Notamacropus eugenii: one gene and its partners. The protein of the gene in region 1 interacts with the protein of each later gene in a pairwise test. Links are inferred from orthologs where the notes say so. Each region holds a gene or a part of one and is shown on either strand. Other genes may lie near its edges. The genes, in order: kxDL motif-containing protein 1-like, IFT20, MOB1A and EXOC7.

Evidence for each region.
Region 2: the proteins of kxDL motif-containing protein 1-like (region 1) and IFT20 interact in binary tests that used the Homo sapiens proteins (3 or more experiments, as listed by UniProt). The two-hybrid records come from large-scale screens. The link is inferred for Notamacropus eugenii from reciprocal best matches to the Homo sapiens genes KXD1 and IFT20.
Region 3: the proteins of kxDL motif-containing protein 1-like (region 1) and MOB1A interact in binary tests that used the Homo sapiens proteins (3 or more experiments, as listed by UniProt). The two-hybrid records come from large-scale screens. The link is inferred for Notamacropus eugenii from reciprocal best matches to the Homo sapiens genes KXD1 and MOB1A.
Region 4: the proteins of kxDL motif-containing protein 1-like (region 1) and EXOC7 interact in binary tests that used the Homo sapiens proteins (3 or more experiments, as listed by UniProt). The two-hybrid records come from large-scale screens. The link is inferred for Notamacropus eugenii from reciprocal best matches to the Homo sapiens genes KXD1 and EXOC7.

What each region holds. Positions count from the first base shown.
Region 1 is NC_092874.1:283,502,192-283,509,744, reverse strand, and holds the start of kxDL motif-containing protein 1-like, read left to right. Parts: upstream 1-4,539; coding exon 4,540-4,591; intron 4,592-7,553.
Region 2 is NC_092873.1:35,659,460-35,666,986, forward strand, and holds the start of IFT20 (intraflagellar transport protein 20 homolog), read right to left. Parts: upstream 3,007-7,527; 5' UTR 2,516-3,006; intron 1-2,515. Other genes in the region: TNFAIP1 (BTB/POZ domain-containing adapter for CUL3-mediated RhoA degradation protein 2), read left to right, coding at 6,684-6,897, 7,216-7,385. UniProt on the Homo sapiens protein: Part of intraflagellar transport (IFT) particles involved in ciliary process assembly. May play a role in the trafficking of ciliary membrane proteins from the Golgi complex to the cilium.
Region 3 is NC_092872.1:750,729,215-750,736,657, forward strand, and holds the start of MOB1A (MOB kinase activator 1A), read right to left. Parts: upstream 3,010-7,443; 5' UTR 2,762-3,009; coding exon 2,748-2,761; intron 1-2,747. UniProt on the Homo sapiens protein: Activator of LATS1/2 in the Hippo signaling pathway which plays a pivotal role in organ size control and tumor suppression by restricting proliferation and promoting apoptosis.
Region 4 is NC_092873.1:342,425,745-342,433,696, forward strand, and holds the start of EXOC7 (exocyst complex component 7), read right to left. Parts: upstream 3,001-7,952; 5' UTR 2,841-3,000; coding exon 2,781-2,840; intron 2,591-2,780; coding exon 2,525-2,590; intron 1-2,524. UniProt on the Homo sapiens protein: Component of the exocyst complex involved in the docking of exocytic vesicles with fusion sites on the plasma membrane.

The DNA of each region.
Region 1 (7,553 bases):
TGCATTTGAACAGAATCCAGGGTCTGGAAATAAAGGTGAAAAACTGCTGGTGCCATTATTTGGATTTTAAGAGGTCCAATTTTCTTGCTTATTTTGCTGAAGTGAAGAATAAATAATGCATTTTACCTTGGGGGGGAAAAATCAAAGCATTTATTACAGGTAGGTAGCACTCTGTGAAGGGAATGGAGAAAAACAGAGCATTGATTGAAGTTAATTTTGCATCCTTGGGTAAAGACATGTCCTCCTACTGTCATTGTTTGGATTATATACTGCCATCTCCCTCCTCAAATTGCCTTGTTCGTACTTACCTGTGTGTGAGAAAAGAGGTGTTCTGGTCATCATCATCACCTCCAGTCTCCTTCGGAGGAGTAAGCTCCTTGCGGGCTGGGAATGGTTTCTATTTTTCCTGTTGTAGCCTCGTTGTACCTTACACATATGACCACGTTTAGTAAATACTTATTGAATTCATTTGAATTTTACCAGGTATCCCAAGAAGTACTAGCTTCAAACTGCTCTGTGATTTGGGGCATACCCTGAATATATTCATTATATAACAACCAATTTATAAGCATTTATTAAGGTCCCCTCTCCCCACAGCACTGTAATACAAACACAAAATGAGAAAACAGTTCATGGAGCTAACATTCTTTCAAGTGAGAGAATAGGTGCCCCACAGAACCATAGTGAAAGGGGCCTTAAATCTCCTCATTTTACAGATGGGTAAACTGAGGCCCAGAACTAGGAAGTGATTATCCCAAGGTCACAAGACAGTGTCACAAGCAAGATCTGAATTTAGCTCCTCAGTGCACAGGTGTGCCACCACACTCAACTCATCTGCACTGCTTGCCATGATGCACACATATAAACACAAGCGAAGTTAATATGTCTTCCAGCATAAGCAGTTTCACTGATGTGCAAACCTAATGGTATTTGAATCCAAAAAATATTAGTGCTTTCATCAGCACAGGGCTGGAAATTTCTTCTACCAACATCACAACTACTCTGTCTCTCAGTAGCAAGATCCTAGGAAATTGTCCAAAGCTCAGACTTTTACATGACTTGCTCAGGGTCACACAACTGCCAGAGGTCAAATTTGAACCCATGGCTTTTCTGATTCTAGCTCACTGTCTCAACACTCTCCTTAATATCCCCATGATATTTTGTTTCTTTTCCTCAGTATCATTAAGTCTTCTTGGTACCTGATGCAGCTAGCAACATGAAGTTAGAGAATCTTTGGTGCAGAATGATGAATCAGTGAAGAAGCACTTATTTTAGTACTATAATGTGCAAGATACTGGGGGTATAGTCCCTGTCCTCAGAGAGTTCAGTTCTATGGCATGGGGGCACAACAAATGCTTAAATAATTCTTTATACACACACACACACACACACACACACACACACACATATACAATGAAACGTTGATGGAGGAAGTAGAAGCTGGTTGGGGAGCATATGATATAAAACAGTATTGGTCAGAAGATCAAGTTAGGATTGTGTACTAGCCATAAGCTTCTGTGAAAGGCTCCTTCACCAGGAAAAGCCTCAGTTTCCTTGCATGTGAAACTGGGAAAATGATTCTCATACCAGTCATACCTTACTTGTAAAAAGGTTGTGAAGAAGGAACTTAGAATGCTATGTAACTGTGAGTTATTATATGAATGAGAGTGATGAGGATGATTATAATGTAAATAGGAGCCATTCTGTTTCAGAACAATGTGGCTTTCCCTGAATCTATTCAGAATACACGGAAGTTAATTAGCTCCCGGTGGCCCTTACTTCTCAAAGAGCAGGGATTATATAACTCAGTTTTGCCTTTGCCAAGTGACTGCTAATATTAGATGCTGCATTTCTGGGCTTGATAGAGCAGTCTGCAAACTTTTTGTCTCACAGCTCCTTTATACTGTTAAATCAAGAACTCCCCCTCCCTTAAAATCTTTTGTTTATGTACGTTAAATATTTACCGTATTAGAAATTAATATGCCTGGGCATTATTACGAAAATAATTTTGGCCCCCTTGACTCCAAGAAAGGGTCTCAGAGACCCCCAGGAGTCCCCTGACCACACTTTGAGAATTGCTAACTTAGAACCCTGAAAGCGGATGGGAACTTTTTGGTTGCTATGCACCCAGATCCCATTCAGTTCAACAAAACAAACATTTCCTGTGTGTATTCAATTGTGTCCATTTCTTTGTGACCCCATTTTGAATTTTCTTGGCAAAGACACTAGAGTGATTTGCCATTTCCTTCTCCAGCTCATTTCATAGAAGAGGAACTGAGGCAAAAAGGATTAAGTGACATCCCCAGGGTTATAGAGCTAGTAAGTATCTGAGGTCACATTTGAACTCAGGTCTTGCAGACTCCATACCCTGCCCAGGACTCTTATCTCTAGCTACTACACTAAGTAACTAAATAAGCTCTACACTAGATGTGAGGAGCGGCACAATGACAAGTAAGACTTGTGCCCTCCCCTCAGCAGGTTTATAATCCAGTAGGGATCTGTACAAAAGTCAAGCAACCAGTATTTGTTTTTTCTTTTTTCTTTATTTTGCATACAGAATCATAGTGTGAGGATTAGAAAGGGTGTTGATGATCATCTAGTTCAATCCATATACATAAGTAATCTCCACCATCACCTTCCCAGTTAGCAGGCCCTGCCGGGACCTGGTTAGATGCGAAAGATACAAAGTGAGGAGATTACAGCAGAGCTGCATGAAACAATCTGTAGAATTTAGAAATGAGATGGTAGAGTGAACAGAGTACTGGTCAGGAAGACCTCAGTGCAAATTTGATCTCAAATATTTACTAGTTGTATGACCCTGTGCAAGTCACTTCACCTCTGTTTGTCTCAGTTTCCTCACCTGTAAAATGGGGACAATAACCTCTACCTCCCAGGTTGTTGTGAAGGCTAATTTAAATAAATTCATAAAACTCTTTGAAAATCTTAAAGCAAATATCTGCAAAATAAATCTAGGTAATTTTGTGAAAGGGCAGGTAGAGGGCACCATAGTGCACAGAGCACCAGGGCTGGAGTAGGGAAGACTCAACTTCCTGAGTTCAAATCCAGCCTCAGACACTTACTAGCTGTGTGACCTTGGACAAGTCACTTCATTCTGCCTCAGTTTCCTCATCTGTCAAATGATCAGGAGAAGGACATGGCAAACCACTCCAGGATCTTTGCCAAGAAAATCCCAGATGGGGTCACGGAGAGTCGGACAGGACTGAACAAGAACAAAGTAATTTTGTGGGGGAGAATCAACAAAGGTCTCCTGGACAAAGCAGCGCTTGAGGTCATAGGAACGAGGAGATGCTAAGAGGCAGGTATGAGCAGGCGGGGAGTTCTAGGTGGGGACAAAGGCAAAGAGAGGGGAGATAAACCCCATTCGGGAGAAAAAGCAAATTCAGTTTGGCTGGAAAAAAATGTGAAAGGAAGATGATACCTAACGAAGCCAGAAAACCAAACTGACCCAAGTAGTAAGGGCTTTTAAACAACAAATAAATATCAGCATAGGAGAAGGTAAAATATGAAAGAATGTGAGAGACAGAAAAGTGTATCCATTTTCATTTCTGGCTTGGGTATGAGAAAAAGCTGGGTGGAGATCATGGAGGGTTTAGTGAAACTTGAAACATTTGAGCTGACTTTGTAGAAAAATTAGACCTTGTAGACAATAACAGTGTTTCTGGTGGGGGGTACATCATGGGCAAAGGCATGGAGGCAGGAATGTGCAGAATATTTTGAATAGTAAAGAGAGTGATTTGGCTGTAGTTCAGGGAACACTGAAGGAAAAGAGTATTAAAAAAAGACTTAAAATGACATTGCTGCCTGCCTTTTGTGACTAGAAACAAAAGAGAATTTTTAAAACAAAAGCAAGATATCAAGCTACTTTTAGAGACATTTGCCACTCAAAGAAGTTCACTCATAAGAGTGATTAATTCAGTCCAACAAATGTTTTTTCATTGCACTTACCATTAAATTGTGAGCTCCTTTAGAGCAGGAAGTATTTTTTTTTTTTGTCTCTTTTTGCATCCCCAGCATTTAGCACAATGCCTCACAGATGGTAGGTGCTTAAAAAATGTCTATTCACTAACTGATGCATTAAGACACTATGACTAATTTGGGAGATACAAAGATAAGAATAAAGTGAGCCCTGCCCCCAAGGAGCTTAATGTCTACTAAAAGAAGTCAGGAATCCAACCAGGCTTAAGGGATGATTAATCTTTAACTTTTCCTCCTCTACTGATTTGGTTTTATTGATTTTGTTTTTAGAAATGTGCTATTTTTTAAATACATTTTCCTTGAGGAAAGAATCAGTGACCATTGGTGAACATCAAATAACACCATAAAATGAAATAGTATGAGTTTTTCAAACAGAAAGAATTTTTCCAACATATTGTTGCTATGATAGCTATCTTCATACAGTTAGACCAGAGTTATATCTGAACTAGTTTTTTTAAAAGAATGAGAAAAATATATGGCATACATCTGAAATAACTTAATCCTGAACTGTTCAAACAAGTAACCAATGATCAGAAATAGGAAATGGACAACAGAAAAGACAACGACTTTGACTATGATGATGTTATTCTGAAGGGTAACCAGTGTACACCAAGGGCATGAAGAGAGTTCAGAAAGTGCCTAAATCAGCAGATATCTGACTTATTTGCTAAATAGTGAGAGATGGCTGCCAAAGGCAATGTTAGATTACAATATAAACCCATTTATAAAATCTTGTGGATAAGGATGATGGATGATTATGAGCAGTATTGTCTCATAAATTAAGGAAGCAAGCAGTAAGGCAAAAATCAGTTTAAAGGAAGCTTGGGAAAACATTCAACTAAAGAAACTCATCCCAAGGACATTCCAAAAGGGAAGAAGGATTGCAAGAAGAAAATGGGAAAGCTTTGTAAAAATCCTTATAACTAATGATTTCTTCATTAAGGACAGTGAAACAACCATATTTGGACCCTAGCACCACAGTGTGCTTACAGAAAAGGTGGAAATGGCACTAAAGAGCAAAAATACAAGGAAAGCGTCTAGATTAGATACTATTTATACATGAAAGAGATCTGTTTTGTAATCTCCACCGTGGTAAATGCACTGAAGGATTGATGTACTAGGCATCGGAAGAAGGGAAAAATGCCAGTGATGGAAAAAATCTTGGACCTTATTAATATAAAAAATGCAACTGAGAGAACATCAGTAACTACCAGCTTTAATTCCTATTCTCCCATTATGAGAGTCTTATATACACCAATAAAGAACATCCTCAATGGTCGTTATTACTATTAGCTTCTAGTTGCCAGGTCTGCTACCTGGTGATGACTTCATGCCCTGGGCCTTCTACTCCACTCTAGTTAAGTGCAAATAATGTTTATAGAGCAATATAAGGGAGTGACAGCAAATGTTTAACAACCAGACTCTCTAGGGGGAAATGTATGCATACACATTTAAGTCTGATCTGTGTTATTAACCCTTTCTTAAGTCTGAACAATCCACGAAACAGTAAAGCAAACCTAGATTTGTGGTGGTTGCAGATGATCATACAGAGCTCACTTTAGCACACCCCAGAGCACAGGTTTATTGCATTTGTGAGATTTTCCTTGTTGGATAACTGCTGGAATCAATACCAGGTTCTTAATCAAAAGTTTCTTTAGAATCATGCAATAATGGCGTTAAAAAGGACATCAGAGACCTTTGGAACCAACTCCATGACATTCCCAGGATTTAGCTTTTAGTTTCTATCTTGAAACTATGCCTTTGGGTCTAGGACCTGGGTCTCTCTGTCCCTTTGAGAGGGACCTCACACTAAGTTAATGTTCCTGTTCTCTTTGCCTCTCTATTTGTCTCCCACAGTGAGATGATAGAGCTTATACATAATTAGCTTCTGTTTTTACAGCTACCCACCCAACAAAATTGTCAGAACTTTCCAGGGGTTTGTTGGAGGCAGCTGTAACTGGCTTGTGAGCGTCCATTGTTAAATGATCATCTTGAGCATTTATACCTTAGAAAGGAGCAATTAGGGGCAGCCACATGGCATAATGAATAGAGTACCATCCCTGGAGTCAAGAGGACCTGAGTTCAAATTTGACTTACTAGCTGCGTGACCTTGGGCAAGTCATTTAACCCCATTGCCTAGGGAGAAAGAAAAAAATCAGCAATTGCCACAAATCAGAGCCAACTTCATGGTTTTGTAGATTTATAGACTTAAGAAAATGTTAATAATACAAATTAAACGTATAAGCATATGTGCATACGTGTCCTTATCCAGTAGTTAAACATTTACCAGCACACCCCTTTACTACTCCATAAACATTGCTTAAATTGAGTAGGACAGTGGAAGGCTTAGGAAATACACATCACAAGACTGGAGACCAGGTGATTGGAGGCTAATAACAATAATCATGGCTGGCATTATGTAGAATTTTAAGGTTTGAAAAGATCTTTCCATCCATCATCTCACTTGAGTCTCATGACAGCCCTGGGGCTGTTGGGTCTCCCGGTTTTTGAGCTCTCCCACACAGATTGGTGGATGGAGACCAAGTCTTACTCTTTCCCTCTGTAGCCAACTTAAGATGAGGGGCAAGGAAGGTCATTGTCTTCCCCCTTGGTCATATCTTGCCTTTATTTAGACCATGGAGGAAACATCAGAACTGACCAGGAAGTAAAATGATGAAATTTAATCCATGACAAGCCATCCATCCAGTTACTGAATACCAAATCTTTTCTGGAATGTTGTTTTTAAAAATTTCTAGACACTTGCCTTAATCCTCAACAGAAGCAAGTATGTCCTCACCCTTCCATTACCTTCCATTTCTAAGGTACAAGTATTGGGCATACTTATGTGAGTATATGTGCACATATTGTCTCATCTGACAGAATAGAAGCTCCTTGAGGACAGGAAATGGTTCTCTAGAGCCTCATACAGTATCTGGCACATGGTAGATCTTTAAAAAATGAGCGATGGATTTTATTATTAACTTACTTGAAAAAATTAAACTAGTTCTTTGATCTTAGAATTAAAGTCCTTTAAAGAATTAAAGGACTAGGTGACTCTTCTGATAAGATGGATTCATTCATTAATTCATTCAATACACATGGCATGATGAACCTGTGACTCTTGGGACACAGAAGCCATCTCAAAATTTCCCTCCTTCTTATATGAAACCACAGATAGACCACTCATCACTTTGCCCCTCTGTGGTCAAAAATTATGTCAGCTAAGAGAATGTCACTGAACTGGAGGATGCAAGCTATTTATTTCTGTCTTAGATGAGACAAATCACTTGTGTCATTCACCCTAATTAACATTAGGGTGATCATGAGATTAATATTAGGGTGATCATGAGAAAAAGAATCATTGACTTCTAAAAAATAAGTATGAAAAGCTCTCATAATGCCAAGTAGAACTGTTTTTGGTGGGGGCAGAGGGGGTGCCAAACCACTGATGAGGCTCTCCTCTCGATCTAAAACACTCAAGGCATAGTTCATTGTAAAGACAGCTGGTCGTGGAGTCAAACAGACCTGAGCATGAATCTTGCCTCAGACATGTTCTA
Region 2 (7,527 bases), on another chromosome or scaffold:
TCTAGAAATTGAGGAGGCACCTCTCAGTTGGGGAATGCCTAAACAAATAATAAATGAATTTTATTATGCTGCAAGAAATTAGGAAAATGTTAGTTTTGGGAAAGAATTTATGAACTGATGCAGAGTAAAGTGAGACGAACCTAGAGAACTGATAGTATAACAATATTGTAAAGATAACTTTGAAAAACCTAACTCTGATCAATACTATGACCAACAATAATTTTAAAAGGTTGATGATTAGGTATGTATGATACCCACTTTTTGATAAAGAGATTTATTCAAGAAGCTGAATAATGCTCAGTGGACGACTGGTGAACTTGGGTTCAGTAAGACCTGGGGCCTCAGCATCCCTAAAGAGAATCATGGCTAGAATGCAGATCATGGCAAGTTGTAACTAGCTGCACTGCAACATCATAAGGTGTTGCTGGCCTTAGAGCAGGTGCGAGCCAAAGGGGAAGGACTTGTTGATGTATTTCCCCGACCATCCAGAAGTGTGAGTGTTCTGATGCCAGATGACTGCTACCAGACACTCCATCAAATTATCCTAGCTTGAGGTGAGTATCCCCTAAAAAAGATACAGCCCCCTTTGCTCTTCAGCTGGGCTCACCAAGTCACCTTCAGATTTGGGTATCTGGTCTACACCCAAGAAACAGTGCCCTATGCAGACAAGCAGCACAGATTCTCCCATTACAAATTAATAAGTTTGCATTAGCTGGGTTGCTGCAAGCGAAGCTTCCCTAGGACTCGGTCATTGGGGAACAGCTAACTTTTCCAGCTGCCTTCTCTTGACATGGGCTCAGCTCTAGGAACATCTTGCCTCCCCCAGGAAAGCTCCTCCCCTGAAATCTTATCATCTTGCTCACACCTCCTCAGCACTCTCAGGTGCCTCTCTCCTCAGACTGGAGGGAGGGCTGGAGGACAGAGCAATGAACTCCTCCCCAAGGCCTCCCTTCTTTTGGTTAACTTCCTCAGCTACTTTGTTGGTTTCAACTCCTCAAGCATTGTGCCCCCAGGCCAGGTCACCTGGAGGGGGCTCCCCCCATCAGACTACAAGCTCCTTGAGGGCAGGAATTTCTTTGGATCCCCAGCACTTGGCACAGCGCCAAGCACATAGTGTTGATTTTTTTCATTCTTCATTTTCAAAGACCAAGAACAACTCAGGTGATGTCTTGACTTGCCTGTGAATTGGATTTAAATGAAACAGTCCTGCAAGGTTGCCAGCCTCACTCTTCCAAAGTCATCCAATTGAGGACAACTGGCAATGGCCAGGCTGCAATACATGACCGAGCCCTCCACGGCACCTACTTCGGTCACTGTTGTGGCTGTTGGAACAAACTGTTCTCATCCCCCCGTTCTGCTGGGGAAATCTTCACACACCTGGGGTAGACAGCCCCCTAACTCAGCCAAGGGTTCGAGGCCTGTGGGTCACATCGGCCAAAATGGTTCCTGAGGTACGCCGTGGGGCGTGATAGTTTCTTGGAGCCACAGGTGATAGGTAAACAACAAAGGTGAATGAGCAGCCCTGAAAAGGGCTCAGCAAGGCCTCACACCAGAGGAGCTGGTCCTCCCTGAACATCCCATACAGCCCCAGGCACACAGTTGTGGTTAAATGGTTCTTCACTGTGCTCCACTCTTCGCGGCTCCATCTGGGGTTTTCTTGGTGTATCATTTCCTTCTCCAGCTCATTTTACAGATGAGGAAACTGAGGCAAACAGGGTGAAGTGACTTACCCTGGGTCACACAGCTAGTAAGTGACTGGGGCTGGATTTGAATTCAGGGAGATGAGTCTTCCTGACTTCAGACTTAGAGCTCCACCCCCTGCACCTCTTGGCTGCCCTGAGGCAGGTACACAGTGTTGACTATTAATTGGCTAAAATGAAATTTCTGAAACCGAAAAGGTGAAGACCAGATTCCGGCCAGGCTGTCTCACCTTAAGTGGCCCCAGGTCACGCGTGCCGGGTCCCTAACAACTTTTTTACCATCGACACAAGACACAAAAATGGAAGAGAAAAGAATGGCCAGGCCCCTCCAGCACCCTTTTATGGGGTGCAGGTGCCACTTGCTTTTCTGGAGGGGGGCAATGGGCTAGTTAGTGTCTGGGCCGGATTTGAACCTAAGTCTTCCGGCCTCCATCCTCTGCACCACCAGCTGCCCCCAGAACAAGGGACTGGGAAGTTCGAAGCCCCGAAGGCCAGGGCAGCCCCACCCCAACAGCCACAAAGGGACCCCAGCCCCGAAGCCACCTCCTCCGCCCTCGGACTTGGCGGGTGGGCCCCCGCCGGGCCAAATCCCGTCCCACGTGGGGTCCCGGGCGCGGTGCCGAGCGCCACACTCAGTGATGACGGGCGTGGGCCACAGGGCAGGCAGCCCCCTGGAAACATTCGTGGAACCGGGGCGACCGACTTCTTCCAGGCCCTCTACCGGGGGTTCCCCGAGAGCCTCCCGGGGAAACTGAGGCACCCGCCCGCGCCTCCGAGGCGAGGCCAATAGTCGCGCGAGCCGTGCCGCCACCCACCTGAAGCCGGGGCCCGCCGCGATGCGGGGCGGGCGCGGGAGACGGCGGCCCCGCACTCCGGTTAGCAGCTAAATCCGCCGCCCGGAGCCGCCCGCCCCGGCGCTGCCACGGCTACAGCTCCTGTTTACCGTACACGTCACTTCCCGCGCCGCGAACTCGCCGCCGGAAATGGTTCCACCTCCCTCTTCGAAATGCCTGCTGGGAAGCTGAGTCTGAGGAGCGAAGGTTAGACTGCAAGGAAAGCCCACACCTCCCCTACTCCTTTGCGCCGAGGGAGGAGCCGGAAGTCGCTTTCCCTCTTTCCCGGGGATAAGACGGCTGCCAGGAGGCGTGGGCAGGAGAAAAACATCCCCCCGAGACACGTGCCTTCCCTCGCTTTGCATTCTGGGAGTTGTAGTCGTGGGCCCTCCCCGGCAGGCGTGGGAGCCGGGCTCGGGGTGGAGCCTGAGGAGGATATGAGCTCACTACCAGAGCCTGGGGCGGGGGTCGGGGTCAGGGTCGGGGCGTTTTTCTTTGGGGCTGCGGGAGCCGGAGCTGGGGTCCAGGCCGGACAGAGCCCTAGGAAGACGCTCCGGGGACGAAGGTAAGAGAAGGGCCGCGTCCGCCCCAGGAGGGCGGGGAGGTGGGGAGGCGCGTCCCGTGCCCCGCGCCCCGGACCAGAGGCCGTGAGTGTGCCCCCTCGCCGTCCTCTGAGACCCGGCCCGAAGGAGGAGGGGAGATGGGAGGAGGAGGAGGAGGAAGGGTAGGTGGGAGGAGAAGGGCGAGAGGAGGGAGGGGGAGAAAACAGGGGAAGAAGGCAGAGCGGGTAGCAGAGGAAGAGCCGGAAAGGGAGCGCAATAGACATTCTTGGGGGGCAGGGTGACCCCGGGGTGAGCCTCGCTTTGCCTCCCTTCCCGGGCCACGTCTTCCGCCCCGTCGGTTCCCTAGTCCGCGGGGCTTCGTTGGCCGAGGCCCGGACCCACCCCCAAGCCTCTAGACCTCCCCCCAGTCCGGAAGGAAGAGCGCTCAGGGGCTCGATGGAAACTTCTTTTTCCCCCGAGTCAGTTTCAGGGCGTTCCCTGTGGGCGGAGCCCGGGAGCCCATTGGTTCAGAGGGAAATGTAATCTGACCTCGCTTGGTCCAGGGCGGCCCGGCTCCTGGCCCCGAAGCCATCCCTGCGGCAGGGGGCCACGGCCTCAGGGCTGGGAGAAGCCCTTCGCGTTGTTGTTCTTGGCTTGCTCCGGAAGGCTTAGCAGCTTAGAAAAGCTGAAAGGAAAATACCCTTTAGGTTAGGAGACAGAGCCTGTGTTTCCTTCCTCCGCTTGCTTCTCTAGCCAGAATGGCCGAGTGAGCAGGGGCCACTTCTAGTCCGACGTGTACTTCAGTAATGCCCACTGAGTGGTCCTCCTTCCCTTTTTGCACAGAGCTCCTTAAGGCTTCCTGGGGCAGCCCACTCCACTTCGGCCCCATCTCGTTAAGAACCTTCTCCTCCTGTGTTTCTCTACAATCTCCACCCATTGTCCCAGCCTCCGCCCTCTGGGGTCCCCTATCAGATACTTGTAGATAGTTCTCATTCTCTCCCTCCACCTGGCTAAGTTTTATCCAGGCTCATTATCCCTGGTTCCTTAATCCTGGGTCTCCACCAGTTTATCCAAGGTCTTTTTTCTTAAATCGTAGCACCCCAAATTGAACACAGCATTCCAGAAGTGGTCTGCCTGGAGCAGAATCCATCAGGAGTCTCACCTCACCTCATGCAGCCCAAGACCCTATTCATTTCTTCCCAAATATCTGCCAGTGTTACATGTAGCACACTGTTAATGGCAAAGCATTAAACCTTAGAGATCTTTACCCACCACACTACTCTCCAGTCTGTTTAGCTGCTGCTGTGCGACCTTGAGCCTAAGTCACTCCTTTCCTGGTTTTGTCCTCTGCACAGTGAGGAGCTGGCCTGGGTGAATGGTCTCTTTTAGCTCCATCCCTCAGAAACCATAATGGGCTTCCTTATCCTTAGCTTATGGACTTGTTTTGGGTCCAGATGTAAGACTATCTTTATCACGGTTAAATTCCTTCTTATTGGGTATGGCCCAACATTCTACGCTGCACAGATCTTTCTAGACTCTGTCACTATCCAGAAATGTGGTCAGTACCTTTCAGTCACCCCTAAAAATGGTAAACAGCATAGGGCCAGATACAGGTCCCTGGGGTACTTGATTAAACCAAGGCCACCTTCCTTTAGTGCCTCTTCTTTAGATGGAGTCATTCAGCATCTTCCCTCTATCTGGTCCATAAGAGCAGCAGGAGACCTTGTCAGATCTTTGCTAAAATCTCCGTTCTCCTAGAGTGCTATCTATGGCAGCCCTCACTTGTCTACTAATACATTTTCCCATTTTCCTTTGCCATTCAGTCAGATCCTTTTAGCTGTAGTTTCTCCTCCAAAGTCATTATCTAATGAATACCTACAATGTGCAGACACTGTGAGGGATCCAGAATTAGGGTGTAATTCTTGCCCTAAGGGATCTTACAGCCTGGTTGGGGAGACAAGCCTGGTATGTCTGTTCTGTTCCAAGGGTAGAACACCTTAGGGTGCACCTTGCTAATTGTTTTTTGAACCAAACTTGTGATTTCATAATTGTAGGAAAATTCCTTTATAAAAGCACATCGGTGAAATTTATTGTTTTAAAGAGTTGCATAAGATCCTTGAGAAGTTAAGCGACTGGCTCAGAGTTATTCAGGACTCAAACCCCAGCCTTCCTAACTTTCAGGACAGCCCGCCCTATAACTCTAGCCTGCTACCTTGAAAAGTAGGTGGAAGGAAAATCAGTCTCTAATGCATGAGGTGCAGTCTGTCTCCCTTTCTACTTCCCCAGGCCCACTAGCATCTAGAATTCCGTGTTACAATGAATCCCCAGTGTTTGGGGTTCATCTTGTGGTTTTCCTGGATCATGAAGTATTTCTGGGATCTTCTTCCACCCCTTAGAAAATAGGAAAGGACTGGGAACCCCTGCCCTTGTGCTCAGGAAGACAAGCCAGCAGGTGGCCTTCTGGTCATTTCTCTAGACATAGAAAAACTGCAAGGATTGGCATGAATTCTGTGCCAAGCAGAGAGAATCAAGAACCCAGCAGCCTGAGGCCAGGGGTAGCAGTTCACTAGAATGCTCTAGGTTTTTGTGACACTCTTCTCTCTTCTGGTTTTCCCCCCCACTTCTCTGACCGCACCTTCTCAGGCTCCTTTTTACTGGATCCTCTTCCAGATCACTCCTGAACATTCCCTGGGGTTCCTCCTGGGCCCTCTTCTTCCTTCAGACTATATTGCATTTGATCTTACCAGCTTTCACGAATTTAATTATTTCTGTGTTGATGATTCTCACATCAGCTTATCCAGCCTGGCAGTTGAAGATGCTCCAGCCTTGGCTTCCTTGTAGCTTGTTCCAGTCTTTTCTCTCAAGTCATGTGTTTTTCATCCCTTCCTGAAACCCCAAGTGGTATCTCTCAGTTCCTTCCCACATGGTTGTAACAAGGGATTGGTTTTCTTGCTTTCTTGATGTTGGGAGGGAAGGAAGAGAGAGAATACAGACCAGAATTGACTTTTAAAAGTTACTTCATAAAAAAAGAAGGAAGGAAGGAAATATGAGAAGGGAAGGGAAACCAACTTCCTCCCTTTCTATTTAAATGGACAGTTTAAGTGCCTTTCATCTGAATCCTGGAGAAGTCTTGTATTGCGTAAATTCCCAGTTAACTTGGCTGCAGTGTTGGGACCTTGTTGAACCTTTGGGAATAGTATACACCTAGGTGGGACGGGCATCCCGTTTGTTATTTATAATACACCTTACATGTTATTATAGTAATGCCATTTTTGTGATCCCTGCGAACCTCTCTGTCTGGTCTTCAGGGGTCCTCAGCTTACTCCTCTCTCTTGTTTGGGCCCTGGCCTGTATCTCTGAGGGCTGCCAAGCCATTTGCATGGGGACCTGGAGGGAGAAGAGGAACAGGGTGTGGCCAGACTGTGGCGGTCCTTTTAACTCTAAGTTCACAGTCCTCCTGACTTCTGTTGTTCTCTCTTCCCTTCTGCCTTCAGTCCTGAGATTATGAGGCTCTGGCCTCCACCAACTGCTTGCCTGTGACTTCCTCCACCACAGTGGAACGCCCTAGGCCCACCTCCTGCCGTGTGGTCATCTACCTGCAGCGGGAGATGTCCGGAGATACCTGCCTGGCTGGCCTGTGCCCAGCCTCAGGATCTAAGCCCAAGCCAGGGGGCTTTAAGGGTGGTGGGATGGGCAACAAATACATCCAGCTCAATGTTGGAGGCTCCCTGTACTACACCACGGTGCGGGTGCTCACCCGGCATGACACCATGCTCAAGGCCATGTTCAGCGGGCGCATGGAGGTGCTGACTGACAAGGAGGGTAAGGACCCAAGGCCAGAAAAATAAGAGTGGTAACGGCAGGAAGCACTTGGACTGGTGGGTCCCAGGGCAGACCTTGCATGAGAGATGTGGGGCTTTTCCCTTTCATAGACTAGTGGAGCTGAGTGGGACGTCAGTGGTAGTTTGGGCTATCCCTTCTGTTACAGGTAAGTGAGGGCCCAGAAATGAGTGACTTCCCACACCCATTCCTACAGCCCTTTGTAGAGATCATCCCTCCATTCTCCTTGCTCAGGAGCAGTGGAAATAAAGTCCTCTGGGGCCAGCAGTAATGGCCCTGGATTCTGGTCTGAATTCCCAGGCTGGATCCTCATAGACCGATGCGGCAAACACTTTGGCACCATTTTGAATTACCTCCGAGATGACACCATCAACCTTCCCCAGAACCGCCAGGAGATCAAGGAGCTGATGGCAGAAGCCAAATATTACCTCATCCAGGGCCTGGTGGACATGTGTCAGATGGCACTGCAGGTAGGCAGAGGGGCAGGAACCAGGGCCTTGCAGGGTCCTTCCCCCCTCTCCTCTACAGACTTGTTCTTGAAGAATTAGCAGAGATATAATTTGGAGTAAATCCAGTCCTTGTCAGCCTGCTAGGAGAGTCTCTGCCAGCAAA
Region 3 (7,443 bases), on another chromosome or scaffold:
GCTAGCTATGGGATGCCCCCCTCAACTGTCTCCAAAAACAAAACACTTGTCTCCTTCCCTCTTTCCTTCCTATGGCTCAGAGCGGCGCTGCAGATCAAAGGAGATCGAATTTGTAAAGAGCTCAGTCAATCTTAAACTGCTAAATAAGTGTGTAACTATTATTGCTTTTGCTCTGACGATGATGAGAAAGGACCCCGGGGCCGCAGATGTGGAGCTCAAAGGGACGCAGAGCTTCTGGTCCAAGGACACAGAGCTGGGAAGCCTGGAGGCAGAACTTGAACCCAGGCCCCTAGATGCTGCCACATGACCTTTTCACATGGAGATAAGGCATCTCTGTTCTCCCTTGGGCTTGGCCTGACTAGGTTTTGGTAAAAGGGAGAGGCTTCTATGAGGAGGAGAAGGGGAGAGCAGTGACAGACGTTATAAAGAAAAGCAAGAGGAAGTGAAACATTTAAAAACTGCGGAGAAGGTCCCAGGGTTGGGCTCAGCCCGAGGCGAGGGCAATGCTGTTACCGCCACTTTAGAAGTGATGGCTATTAAAAGGCACAGGCAGCATCCTGACCCCCCTCCACCTTCTCATCTTTTGGGATGATTTATTTGTTGGTGGTTTCTAGTCCACAATTTAAAAAGTAAATCAATTAGAAATGAAGCAATGAATGCTTGCTGACTGATGGATGCCCCCGGGCATGGAAGGCAGCGGGCACTCCTGGAGGGGGAGGGAAGGCTCTGCACTGGGGGCCTGCTCTGCTCCTGCACGGCTGCCCGGATTCGATCCACAAACACGCAGCGTTGGACAGCGTGTGCCAGACCCTACAGGATGCAGAGACAAAGATGAAATCTGCCCCTGTCCTCAACAGGCTTCCATTTGGCCGCTTCCCCCAGGGACTGGCAGAGAAGCAGACCAGGGTACCACCTGGGAGTGCTCCCCAGGAGGTGAAAGGAGCCAACCACAAGCTGTCTGGGGAGCCACCTGGATGGGTAAATGCTGTCTCTCCACCCCCACCCCCAATGAACGGAAGCTTAATAAATGCTTGTTAAATCCAAATGCAGTATTCTCCAACTCCACTGGCAGCTAGTGCTGGACCTGAGTTCCAATCCTGCCTCGGGGGTCCTGCTCAAAACACTTAAGGTGTTTCTCAGTTTCCTCCGCTGCAAAGTGGGGACCATCCTAGCACCTCCTTTCCAGGGTTGTTGGAGAAAGGAGGCGAGGCGCTCTCTAAATGCCCATGAACCATCATCAGGACCAGACAGAACCGAACCTGTATAACCCAAAGCCAGTCTCCCACCAGGACTGCCTTCCTTCTAGAGCCTGTGCTGTCCCCTCCCCCGCCATCACTGCCCTGGCACCACCGATGCCACCGGCCAGAGGTCAGGAAGACAGATGCTGGCCTGGCGGGCCTGGCCCTCTTCTCTAAGCAGGGACAAAGACAAGGTGGGGATCCCAGGCCAGAGAACCTCAGACCAGGGTGAGGCTGCCAGGGAAGGGGCCGGGTGGGCTGAGGCGGTCAGGGCAGAGGGGTGAGGAGGAGGAGGATGGAGGCAGAAGCACGCAGGAGGGTTGGTGCACAGTGTTTGATGTGTGTCACTTCAGGGGCCTCCACACCGCCTGTGAGATGGGTTACAGACAGGGAAACCGAGGCTGGGTCCCCTGCCAGGTCTGGGGCTGTCAGGTCTGGGGCAGGCCTGCGTGGCCCTGGCCGGTCACCTGGCTCTGCAGGCCTCAGTTTCCTTATCCTAGCTCCCCTCACTGATTAGACTGCCCCAGGGTGACACGATGGAGGGAACAAGCATTGATTAAGCACCTCCTGAGTACCAGGCCCTGGCCCTGCAGTGGGGACCTGGCCGGGGGTCACGGGTCCCAGGGTCGGGGATCACAGACCCTCAGGGGGGCCTGCACATCGTGAAGCTGGGGGAGCACGGCCAGGGGTGGGGGGGCACTGCCTCCTGCTGGGGGGGGTGCAGCCAGGGGTGGGGGGGCGCACTGCCCCCTGCTGGGGGGAGCACAGCCAGGGGTGGGGGAGTACTGCCTCCTGCTGGGGGGAGCACAGCCAGGGGTGGGGGGGCACTGCCCCCTGCTGGGGGAGCACAGCCAGGGGTGGGGGGGCACTGCCCCCTGCTGGGGGAGCGCAGCCAGGGGTGGGGGAGTACTGCCTCCTGCTGGGGGGAGCACAGCCAGGGGTGGGGGGGCACTGCCCCCTGCTGGGGGAGCACAGCCAGGGGTGGGGGGGCACTGCCCCCTGCTGGGGGAGCGCAGCCAGGGGTGGGGGGGCACTGCCTCCTGCTGGGGGAGCGCAGCCAGGGGTGGGGGGGCACTGCCTCCTGCTGGGGGAGCGCAGCCAGGGGTGGGGGGGCACTGCCTCCTGCTGGGGGGGCGCAGCCAGGGGTGGGGGGGCACTGCCTCCTGCTGGGGGGGTGCAGCCGGGTTGGGGGGGCACTACCCCCTGCTGGGGGGGCTTCACGGGGGGGTGATGAGGATAAGTTTGGGTTCCGGGGGCTCCTCCCCCGGGCCGGGCCCTTGGGGGCCCCCCAGGAGGCCGGGGGAGACAGTGGGCCTCGGCCCGTCACCCCCCTTTCCTCAGTCCGGGCCGCCCCCACATTCCCTGGCTGCCCTCGGACCCCCCGCCGCGCCCCACCCTGGGCCCAGGTCCTGGGGTCTCCATCCCCGCGCGCCGGGGCCCCCGGGCCCCCCAAGACCCTCCCCTCAGCCCTGGGGGGGTGTCTCCTCCTGCCCCCCCTCCCGCACTCACAAGAGGAAGCTCATCTCGTCTCGTCTCAGCGGGGCGGGGCGCGGGGGGCCCGGAGGAGGCAAAGGAGCGGAGGCCGGACGGCCAGCGAGGGACAGGGGCGGCGGCGCCCCGGATCTGCACGCACGCACGGACAGACGGACGATCCCCGGCCAGCGCGCGCCCGGAGCCGCCCACCCGAGCCCCCCGCTCCGAAATGCGGAACTCGCGCAGCTCTCGCGAGAGGAAGCGCCCCCCCCTCCCGCGTCCGGGGCAGGAACGAGGAAGGGACGGGGAGCCCCGCCCCCCGAGAGCCCGCGGCCAATCAGCGCCCGAGGCCCGGTGCCCCGCCCCCCGCAGGTGCTGCAGGCCCGGGGGGGGGGGGCAAGGTCAAGGTCGCGGGGGGGAGGGGACGTCCCGGGGAGGGAGGGGTCACTTGTGGTCAGGCATCCACGTGCCAAGTGTCCTGCCCTGGCCTGGGACCCGGGACCCTCCCGAGCCGCGCTCCGAGTGCGCCTCTGACGTCCAGTGTCCAGCGGTCCTCCCAGCCCTGATGTCCAGTGTCCTCTGATGTCCAGCGCCCTCCGGTCCCTCCCGGCCCTGATGTCCAGCGCCCTCCGGTCCCTGCCGGCCCTGATGTCCAGCGCCCTCCTGTCCCTCCCGGCCCTGATGTCCAGCGCCCTCCGGTCCCTGCCGGCCCTGATGTCCAGCGCCCTCCTGTCCCTCCCGGCCCTGATGTCCAGCGCCCTCCGGTCCCTCCCGGCCCTGATGTCCAGCGCCCTCCGGTCCCTCCCGGCCCTGATGTCCAGTGTCCTCCGACGTCCAGCGCCCTCCGGTCCCTCCCGGCCCTGATGTCCAGCGCCCTCCGGTCCCTGCCGGCCCTGATGTCCCATGTTCCAGGGGCATCTCTGGCCCTGACACCCCACATTCTTTGCTCCTTATCCCATGGCCCAAGCCAAGGACCTCGGTTGTGCTGACCAGAAACTCCATTAGATCCAAAGATCGATGCAAGGAGTTTTCTCACGCTTGTACATCTCAAGAAACCGATGAGTATTAGCTGAAAACTGGTCCCATACTGATCAATCAGTTCCTGTTTTCATATTCCTTTGTCTATGGACACTTCGGAGGTGGGACCCCTCTTTCTCTGAATTCGGGGAATTGTACCTGTTCATTCTCCCCCTCCTTCCCGGTCTTTCCTAGAAATCAGATGACCCAACGTTGTATTGTTTCCTTTTACCTAACTGGCCTTATTGATGAATTGGTTTTAATGTGTATAAGTCTGTCTGCCCTAAATTCAGGAGATCCGGTCCCCATAGGCATGAATCGCTTTAATGAATCGATTAGCTGTGGGATCGAACTTCTGTTTCTTCAGTCATTCCATCTGTCACCCACCACAGTTCCAAGACCCCTTCCAACCCTGTGTGACCCCAGGCAAGTCATTGAACCTTCAGTTAACTAGGAAACTTGCTCAGATTCTACACTGCAGAAAAGCCTATGATCTGCATTGATAGGTGGAGCTGTCTCGCCTGAGAGCTCCCTCTGACCAATGAAATTGCGTTACCTCTCCCAAGCTGTGTCTAAAGACCTAAGGTCCCAGAGGAAGCACAGCTCCTCGAATCTTATTCACTCCTTTATCTCCTGCCTATCAGCAACAACTGGGCCTTCCTTGCACATAGTAGGAATTAATAAATGCTTTGAGATGGCATTGAATTGTGACCCACCCACCCACTTGAAGTTGGCTCCTGGCCCTTGACATGAGCATTTAATATGTACAGGTGGGGATGCTTGGGGTGGATGGGTGGGAGTTGGAGGGTCCTTGCAGAAGGTGGGCTAAGTAAGGTTGGCTTGCCGTAGCTCCAGTCACTACGAGGAGGCCTCCTCGTAGTGACATAAAAGATAACAAAAACTACCAGAACTCTGAGTCTGTTGGTGGGCATGGACACTCCCCTGTCAACGCAGAGGGAAACAAATCCCTCTAAGATTTAACTAATGGTTTTGAGAGCTGTTGTGTCTGAAAGGGGCCCAGGGAAAGTCTAAATGTTTCTTAATCATCCAAAAACTAAAGAATGACTGAGTATTTTTATAACGAGTAACTTTTCTTAGTCTGCCCACAGCTTGATACAGTTTTGTGTTTCCTGCCCTGAAAAAAGAAATGACTCATGAATTAATTGGGCTGATGAAACCTCTCTTGCCATCTGTGTGTGGGAGCTGTCTCTCCTGAGGCCCAGAGTGGCCTTCTGCTTAGCTCAGCCACATGACTTGTTAGCATAGACTTTTGTCTATGTTAAGAGACCTCTGGAAAGCAAATGCGGGAGCATTAATTGGTAATGAGTAAGCAAGAGCTGGCCTTAGCTCTTGGCATCTTCAGGACAGAATGGATGGCCCATTCAAATAATAGTACAGAAGGAGGGGGTACCCAGGTAAGAGGGCCAGGAGAGAGACAGAGACAGAGAGACAGACACAGAGAAAGAGATGGGACTGGGTTTAATGGGATGGAGAAGCCCGAGTTTGGAGAGGAAGACAGAACCAAATGTTAGTAGCAGGTGACATTTATTTGATAGTGGTTAGAAATCTATAGAGGCAGGGTGGTGCAGTGAAGAGAGCATGGAATTTGGAGCTGAAGTGTGGGGTTCAGTCCCAGGTCTACCATTTTCATGGACCTTGAGCAAGTCACTTCACCACTAAAAGGAGGTGGTTGGACCAGATGCCTTCAAAGGTCCCTTCCAGTAGGAGCCAGGGCTTTCTCTCTTTTTGAAAGGAGAGTCAGGGGGTGTAACAGATTCCAGGCTTCCTTCTGAACTGGCTGTGTGACCCTCAGGGAGTTCCTTAACCTCTCAGCGCCTACACAATTCACCAAAAGTCAAAGTTACCCATAAATTGCTGATCTCCCACAATGACAAAGTACTTTATCCTGGTTTGGTTCCTCACAAAAGCCCTGATGGGTAGGTTGTCCAAGGGTTATCTTCATTTCACAGATGGGAAAACTGGGGCCCAGGGAAGATTGCTTCTACAATCAAATACATAGCTGTCTTTTTTGGACATTTGAATCCTTTCATTGTCTGCTCCAGACCATCTTTCTGGAATAATAACTCTTCATTCTCCCAGATGCCCTCAATCCTCCAGTCAGACTGCCTGCTTTCTTTTTGCCATCCTAGGGCATCCTACTTCCTACTTCCACCTCTCTGCCCAGACTATTACCCAAACCTGGTGTGTTATCCCTACTACCCACCATCTTTTAGAACAATGGCTCCCTTCAGGGATCACCTCAAAGGCCTTTCCTCCTTAACCCAGCTGTTAGTACCCCCATTTTGTATTAATTTTGTGCATAACCTATCGGGTACCTTCCCTGCCCCTACTTTGGAGGTCTGTGTAGCCCCAGCACCCAGCACAGCCCCTGGTCCCTAGGCTCTATCAATCTTGTCCATTGATAGAAGGGCTGCCTCTTCCTTAGGCAGGTGACTTCAGGAAAAGTGCTGCTTGGGTCAGCCATGGGTCTGATGGTCCCTGTCCATCCAATGGGGGGACAATGCTAGCTAGACTCCAGGAACTTTGAAAGAAGGTTTTCTCTCCAGCTGGACTCTGAATCTGGTGCATAGTAGGTGCTTAATAGATGTTTACCAACTAACCATCTGAATCTCCTTCATGTCATGTCCCTGAGTACTGTGAGGGATCTCATAAACCTTCAAGGCTGTAGCAAAACCATTTTTCTCATCATAAAAATTCTTTGTATGTACAGTGCCTTAACAGCTCATTTGGTCAAATTCAAATCAACAAATCTTTATTGCATTCCCATTACCAAAAAGTTACATTACATTTTTAAAAAATTTCTTAAAATTCAACCAGGACCCTGAATTCTATGGCAGGGATGGAAACTAGACTCAGGCTTTTATTGATAGAAGGGACTCCCAGGTGAGGGAACTCCTTCTACCAACACAGATAGGCACCTTCTCTACAACTTCCAGTCTCAGAAAGTTGCCTGAGGCACCAAGAGCTGAAGAGGTGACTTGCCAGAATGTGTCACAGGCCATTTTTCCTTGCTCCCTCAATTTTTATAATACTAAAAGGAACTGGATGTGGAGATAGAAGGGACCCCAAAGTCCCTCCAGCCGCTCCTTCATTTTTATAGAAGAAGAAAGGAAGTTTAAGAAAAGGGGCAGCCTCCCAACCTCCCAATGAGAGCCAGAAGGGACCTCCCAGGTCAGGGCCAATATTTTACAGGGAAGAAGGGAGAAACTGAGGCCTGGGGCCATGAAAGGAGTTTAGCCTGCGCCAGGAGTATGTGCACTGGGTGCACTGGGTGCTCTGACTTTCTCATTGTCCCCGAACTGACGATTCTATGGTATCTTATACACCGTAGTTACTTAATCAACGTTTGGTGGTTGAATGATCGATCTAGGTAGGAAGAAAAGTAGTACGCAGCTGTAGATGGTCACATGAGAGTCCAGTAGCCAGAACAGGTTTAAACAACAGTTCTGGGCATTAGTGGGAGGCTGGTCACTGCGCAGGACTCCATTAATTTACTGTTTGTTATTTAGTTATCGCACTGATAAGAAGTATTGCAGGAATCCAGAGAAGGGAGCCAAGTCACAGAAGGAGGCCTTGAGAGACAGAAGACCTTCTCTCACTGCATGACCTTGGGCAAGTCTCTTCTTGGGCCTCAACTATCTCCTCTGGGAGATGAGCCTCCAGTTCCCTCCAACATTAACACTCCGGGATCCTG
Region 4 (7,952 bases), on another chromosome or scaffold:
CCTGACAATCTTTCAAAACCTACTCTTTGCTTCTATCTACATGAAATATATATGTCTGTCTGTATGTACACAAGAATAAGTCAAGTCAGTCAGTCAATAAACATTTATACTATAAGTGGCAGGCAAGGGGAAGATCAAGGTGTGGGAACTCCCTCTACCAATACAGATCAGCATCTTTTCTGCAACTTAGAGAGTTGTCTAGAATAGGGCTTCATAGAGAGTTATTTAGAATAGGGCTTCTCAAACTTTTTCCACTTGGGACCCCTTTTCATGTTTTGGCAGTGTTCCTTGGTGTATGGCCTGAGAGCATGTACAGTGTAACCTGTGCATGCTTTGTGTTCAGAACCAAGGCTGAAGTGAAGCTGCAAGAAGCAACATGGGCAAGTACTGCCAGAAAACACCTGGCATTCATTACTTGGTTGATTTTTAATTAGTTTTTGATTGTTTCGCTGTTTACTGTTGCCAACATTTTCAAAGCCCCACTGTTGTGACCCACAATTTAAGAAGTGATGGTCTAGAACACTGACAGGTTGAGTGACTTGCAATGTATGACAGGTCTTCTCAGTTTCAAGACCAGTTTTCTATCCATCAAATTCCACTGCCTCTTGTTATATATGTGTATGGCTATTATAAATAACTACATGCACACAGATATTCCTTCACAAAAGCTCTGCTTCAGTGCCTCATCATGTTGTAGTGGGAATCGTGAAGTCTGTTAGAAAGAAAAGCAAACTCTGGTAGGTTCCACACTGAGACACTGAATCGGTGACAAAATGTCATCTGAGAACCAGTCTAGTTAAGTTCAAAGAAACTCACCACCAAATGTTTGGTTATTAGAAGATGAAGTTTTTTGGCCCCAGCAACTCACGAAACCGCACGAGGGGATGTAGAAGTTTTGATGTGCACAGGTGGAGAGATTACTCACACTGATGAAAGTAATGTCTCTATTTTGGTTTCTCTGCCCTCATCCTAGTCACCCAAGTATGGACCTTTGGAGTTATCCTAAACTTTTCCCTCTCTCTCTTCCCCACAAACTTCAATCAGTTGCCTAGTCCTGTTGATTCCACCTTCAAAATGTGGAATCTTCTTTCCATTCACACTTTCACCCCAGTTCAGGCTCTCATCATTTGCTAGAACTATTATTGTAATAACTTCCTAACCGGTTTCCTAACTTCTAGTCTCTCATCTCCAATCCTTCAACAGAGTTGCCAAAATAATCCTTCTAAAGAACAGGTACATCTATGTCCTTCCCCAGCTCAAATATCTTCAGTGGCTCCCTACTGTCTCTAAAATAAAGTACAATTTTCTAAAATTTAAAATTTTCCATAGTCTATCTCTTACCTAACTTTGTAACTTCAATTCATATTATTCCCCTTCACACATTTGCATTCTTAGCATGCTACACTGTTTCTGTACACAGCAAGTGCTTACTAAGTGCATTACCTATCTTAATTAGGTATTCCATATTTTGTCTCCATGCATTTGCACAAACTATACTCCATATCTAGTATATACTTCCTATTCAATTCTGCCTTTCAAAATTCTTATCTTCCCTCAAGGATCCACTCAGTGCCTTTTCCCTCTATGAAGCTTCTTTTCACTTCCCCAATTGTTAGCACATAGTCTCTTCAAATTATCTTATCTACACATATTTATCATTTCTATCATTTTTTTTTAAGGTTATACATGTGGCTCATTTCTTACAGCCACTTGGTGGCTTCTTGAAGGAAGGCAGTTTCTCTTTGTTTTTGTATCTCCACTACCTAACAGAGTGCCTTGTACACAATGAGTGCTTAATAAATGTCTAAACTGAAATTTGGAAGTATAAAGGCACATAGTTATTGCTTTCCATACATATTGTACCTTTATTACCATCCTGGTGCTTAATGTACCTGTACACGATCACAGTTAAATCTACTCCTTTGTGCTCATCTAATCTCCTTTTCAGAAAATAAGCTTAGAAACCACCTCTTCTATATTCCACAGAGCCTGTACACAGTGTAACATGCAGGTGGATGCCCAATCAGTATTTATTTGGGGTACCTGACAAGGAACTAGTAAGGCAAACATGACATAAGAAGAGTAACCAGCTTCTGGGTCCTAACTCAAGAGAGGCAGCGGGGGCAGAGCTGGGTAGACCGAAAACCCTGCAATCAGCCCGTGGCCCACAGAACCGAACATGAGGGGAACATCACAGAATCGGAGAAGGATACAATCATCCGGAGCACAGAGAGCCAAAACCGACAAGGGCCTTAGGGATCAATGAGTCCGACCCCCTCGGGTTACCGACGGGGAAACTGCGGCCACACAACACCCACCAGGTTCTCTGCAATCACGCACACTCTACTTTCTCCTATCTGTGTTTGTCTGCACGACGGGTCTCCCGTTGGGTCGTAGAAGGGCAGGCACTGCCTCCGGCCTGTCTGCGTCCCCCGCGGTTAGCGACGCGCCGAGCACCGAGGAGGCGCTCCATAAAGGCCTGCCGGGTGACAGGGCAGGGTCGGGGGCCGTGCCCCACACTCACCATGTTCTTGGTGAGCTGGTCGCTCTTCTCCAGGCTGTCTCGGATGAAGGAGAGCGTCTCCTCCTCCTGGGGGATGGACGGATGGATGATAGAGGAGGGCGGCGTTAGTCACCCCGTGGGGTGGGCCGGAGAGGGGGCGATTCCGCCGCCCCGCCGGCCGCGGGTCCCATCCCCTTCCTTCTCCCCACCTCCGCGCCCCCCAAGCCCTCCTCCATCTCCCAAGCAGTCCTTCCCCTTCCCGTCGCCTCGGCCTCACCTGCTTCAATTTGTCCTCTATCTCCCGCCGCCGCACGGACGCCTCCTGTGGAGGAATCATAGCCGCTCCGAGCGGGACCGGCCTAGGGAACCCGCGACCCCCTCCGGCCTGCGGCCCTCACTCCATCGGCCCTTTCCGGAGCGGCCCTCTTCGGCCACCGTCTCCGGCACACCCACTTCCGTCTGCTGCGGGCCTACCCACTCTCGGAGATGGAGCTAGGACGGCGCATGCGCACACTCCTCCTCTCTTTCTCCCCCAACCCCCCCACCCCCGCCTCGCTGAGATGGAGCATGCGCACAAAATTCTCGCTCCTGGGCAAATCACTGCTGGGCGTGACAAGTGTATCTCCTAGGAAGTGGTTTCCTCTAGCAGGGAAGCCTTCTTTCGAAGGGAAAAACATCATTGCGTAAAATAAAGTTTTTATGTCCAAGATCTCTTGGGAACTAACACAAATCAGTGTAGACAGCGGGGGTCACGGGGGCAGCCAGAGTTTGGCAGAGGAGGACTTGCCTCCTCCCAACAGAAAGGGGCGGGGCAATCTCCGCTTTTGTCTCCGCCTCCGCCCTGGGGGCTCGGCTGGGGGGCGGAGCCTTCCCCTTTCCCCAGGTGTGGGTCCAGGTGCTTCTGAAGGTGGGCCGCTTGAGTTATTAGTGAACCCGTCTGCTGCAGGCGCTGACTAGCAGAAGCAAAACCAGTCTTGATCCAGTTTACACTCGTCTTTGGGAAGTTCGCTTTTAAAATACAGATTGTTAATAAAAAGCCTGAAGTTCACCAAGAGAGGCGGCTCTGGTCACCAGACCAAAGAAGTTCCGTTTATAAAAATCTATGTGTCATCAAAGAATCTTTGATTTATTTAAAAAATGTATTCAGGTGGCTGCTAGTCCTCTCCTTTATACTCCTTTATACACCAATATACAGACAGTGCAATACAGAGCTTTAATGATGGAGCACAGGCCTTAAGTAAAGAGAAAGGAAATCAGAATAAGGAAGAAATTTTAAAAGAATGGCAGTATTTATTACGTATCTCTATTTTTTACAGTGCCTCTTAGCATAGCTAGCACAAGGAGACAGAGTTGAGGAGAGGAAATTTAAACCTTTTGGCAATTTTACACAGGACTTTTTAGCTGTCTGGGTGCCTCCCTCCTCTAGCCTTTTAGCACCCATCCTAAGAGTCCTCTTGATCTGGGGAGTGGAGGGAGAATGTCAACATCTCCACTAATGGTCCTGCTCAGATCTTTAAAGTCCCCTTTGGAGACCAGTTTCAGCATCCCTGTTCAGCATTTTGTTTTTGTTCAATCATGGTTTTTTGGTTTTTGTGTTGTTGGTTTTTGTTTGTTTGCTCTTTATGACTCCATTTGGGGTTTTCTTGGCAATGACAGTGATTTGCCATTTCCTTTTCCAGCTCATTTTACAGAGGAGGAAACTGAGGCAAACAGGGTTAAGTGACTTGCCCCGGGGCAAACAGCTAGTGTCTAAGGCAGGATTTGAACTCAGGTCCTCCTGACTCCAGGGCCAACATTTTATCCACTTTACCAACTAGGTACTCAAAATTGTTATTTGGTAGTTTTCAGGTCAGCATAACCCTGTCCAATTCAAACATATGGAAGACCTCCCCAAACTCTTCACAAGTTGGGAAGGAAACTGTCTCTATGAAACACTGAAACTGAGGGACTGTGGAAAGAGAGGTGTTCTAATACATACAGAGCCTTGAATTGGTCCAACCTTTCTGTTGGTATAGAATACAGTGTTTAGAATGCAAACTTTTTGAGAACAGGAACTGTTTCACTTTTGTCTTTTTTAACCTTAGCCCTTAGCACTGCATCTGGTACTTAGTAACCACTTAATGAATATTTGATTTATTGATTATGCTTTTAAAAAAGTGATGAAAATCAGCATGCCCCTTAACCTAGAGATCTCTTTGTTAGGTGTATAGCTCAGGGAAGTCAATGACAGAAAGAGGGATCCCATAGATGCCAAAATATTCATAGCAGCACTTTTTGTAGTATTGAACGTAGCCCTGGGGTCATGGACACCTAGCCCAGTTATCCCTGCTACAGAGACAAGAGACTCAAGCAGATGTTCCCCAAGAGTTCACCAACTGCTGAGGTTTTTTGAACTTGGCTTTATAGGACTTTATATGTTATAGAATTTTGGGGAAAAAAAGCTGGAAGAAGAGTTTGTTTTTTATCTTCTATGATGTGGGTGGGCAGAATTGAGCAAAGTGGCTAATGTCCTGTTGCCTGCTGTCTTCCTCCCTTTCCTACCCCTCCACTCCCATCTTTTGACACTTTGATGGGTGGATATTGCTATATAACGTGATTGCAATTATAAATTCCCAAGAGCTGAGAGTTAACAGTTGGTGATGCCAAGCATCACAAGGGATAGCTCCCTATTCTTTCTTTTTCCAGGTGAGAGATCAGTTTCCCATTAATTGCCAAATTCATCTAAGTTTATCTTTTCCCTTCCTGTGAGGAAAAGCTGATTCTGCCTCTGTAGCTAACAACCCAAGTCAATGCATCATTCCCTCTCTTCTCTCTCCCCCTACCCCCTTCATTACTCCTTTCATCAACCTCACTTCCTCCCTGGAATCACCCTGGCTTCTAATTGATGACCTTTCACCTTATATTTCCTGGAGCTAGGTTTCATCTCTACTTCTGAACATTCACATGCCTCACTATGTTTCTTTACCCCACCTCTTCATGCTTTACAGCTCCCCTTTAAGGTATTGATGGGGTGCTTGGGTACATGTGCTTGGACCCCAATTCTAAAATCACATTTCTCTTTAAAAATCAAATTTCTCCTTAGCCTCCCAGCCCAACAACAGCCTGCTCCAGCAAAAATGGCTGTCTCCCTTCCTGCTGCAGTAGCCAGCTGTAGAATTTATTAGTTTGAATCGGCTGTGTACTGGGTCATAATGACATTTACTACTCACCATTATCCTAGATTTAGACATACGTATACTCCTTCACATTTATCTTGTCTAACAAGACATTGATGAGAGCAGCCTTTTATTACTTAGTCAGTCCTGTCTGTTAGTTGACTTAGTGGCATTTCAGGCCTAAAACTCCCTCCTTGGGCTAGTTCCCAAAGAACTCTGGGTAAAATACCTGTGCAGTAGATACCAAAAGTGCATGTTCCTTTTAAGAACTAACCACTCCTTAATCACTCCTTAATTCTGCCCTGAATCACCTAGTTAGCATATTTGGCACATGTTTTACTATAGAATATCCTATATAAACTTTACCTATACCCCTCCAAGGTTGCAGGTTCCCTAAGAACTCTTGCCCGCTGAAAAGTGTAATAAATCTTTACCACCTTGACCTTAATAATGCTTGAGTTTGGGAATTTTTTTCCAAATGGCCCACACAGGCAACTACAGTTTTGGAATTCCTATATCTCTATCTCTCCAGCCCTCATTAGTATCTTCCTCAATTGGAATGTAAGGAAGGCAGCGATTATTTTGCTTGCTTGTTTCTGTATCTCCAATGGTTTTAGCACAGTGGGCACATGGTCAGCCCCTTATAAATGTGCTATCTCTATCTATGTACCTACCTATCAATTTCTCTTTCACATTAAAGAAAAGACAATGGCTACTAAATCCTAATAAAATTAATGCAGGTGCACATCAGATTAGGCAAGAGATTTAGATGTCTTTAAAGGGCAGGAGATACATTCCATATTCACTTCAGTGGAGGTGTGAAAGGAGGAAGAGACGTTGACTTCATTTTAGTCAAGTGCAAGTTTCCACAAATAAGAGAACTTTTAAGCAGAGAGAGAGTAATATATGCCCATAGATCTAATAAAGGTAGCCCCTGCTACTGAAAAGGCCACTGAGGTCCAGGGGACTACAAGCTCCTTCCTGTAATAGTTCTTTGCTCTGTACAGGTCCTAAAGACTAGATTGCTTAAAATCACATGACTAATATGTATCCAAAACCTAGAGATGCAATATGGCGGTGGTGAAACTCTTCAGGAAGCATATGCTACATTTACATGTTCTATTGATCAGCATAAAGAAAATAAACCTCCTGACTTTAGAGTCAAAGTACATTCTCAATTACAGAGAATAATTCAGAGAAGTATGGTAGTATCTAAGAAAGAGGATAAGATTAGTCTGCAGTAACCAGAAAAAGGTAATACATAGCTCTGAGCTTTATCCACTCATGACTGGTATTGAATCTTGGCTGGTGTCACCATAGTGAGTTGAGGTGAGGCAAATGCTAATAGACATGGAGGACTGTGGTATCTATGCTAAGAAGAGCTCAACTTTCATTGAGGTAGGAATATCTTCTTGAATGTCAATGGAAGCAAATTGAGAAAGCTACTCTGAAAACGCAAAACCAAAGCCAAAAGACCACAGAAGATCTCACAAGATATGGAATAGTGGACATTCTTCCTTAGAAAGATAAAGGACCAAGAGAATGAAGGCCATGAAGAAGACCTGTGTAACACCAATGCAACACCCATAGCAGCCATTATGGATATGCATCTGTATTTCCAGGGTAAATTTGCAAAATATAAACTCTCTTCCTCAAAGATGAAACCAAGACATTTATTCAAATATCAGAAAGCCAAATCCATCATAGTAACAAAGAAATCTATATACATTATCAATGCAGGGAGCATGACCATCTCTGAGTTTCCCTCCATCAAACCTCCCCACAAACAAACTCCCTTAGGCAAAATCATTCCCTCTCTCAGTGTAAAGGCAAGCAAAATAGGATTTTTTGCTGTTTTTGTTTTAGTATAATCAAGTGCCTCTGATTGAATCTTGCCTTTATCAACCAAGAATCTTCACGAGTAATAAAGTACAGAAACAAGAGTTTCTTTAACTAGAAATAGTATGTATTTGTATATGTGTATATGTATATGTATATGTATATGTGATTAAAGATCTTCCCCATCCATTAATGGGCCTGCCCATTAATGGGAATTTGATTGGGGGAGATTTGTAGGAAGGTCCTCTGGCTCTAAAAAAGGTATAAATACTCTGAGTTGAGGTTTTATTTTTGGACTTAGTGTTTGGAAGAAGCTTTGTGTGCCAGACGAGACTCTGGGAAGCCACTAAGGAACCCTCCAGCTTTGAAAACCCAGATGTTGGTGCTTCCCTCTCTGGCAACTATGGTCAGACAGTTAAACCTGTCTGTTGATTTGTGATATATTTTTTGCTTAT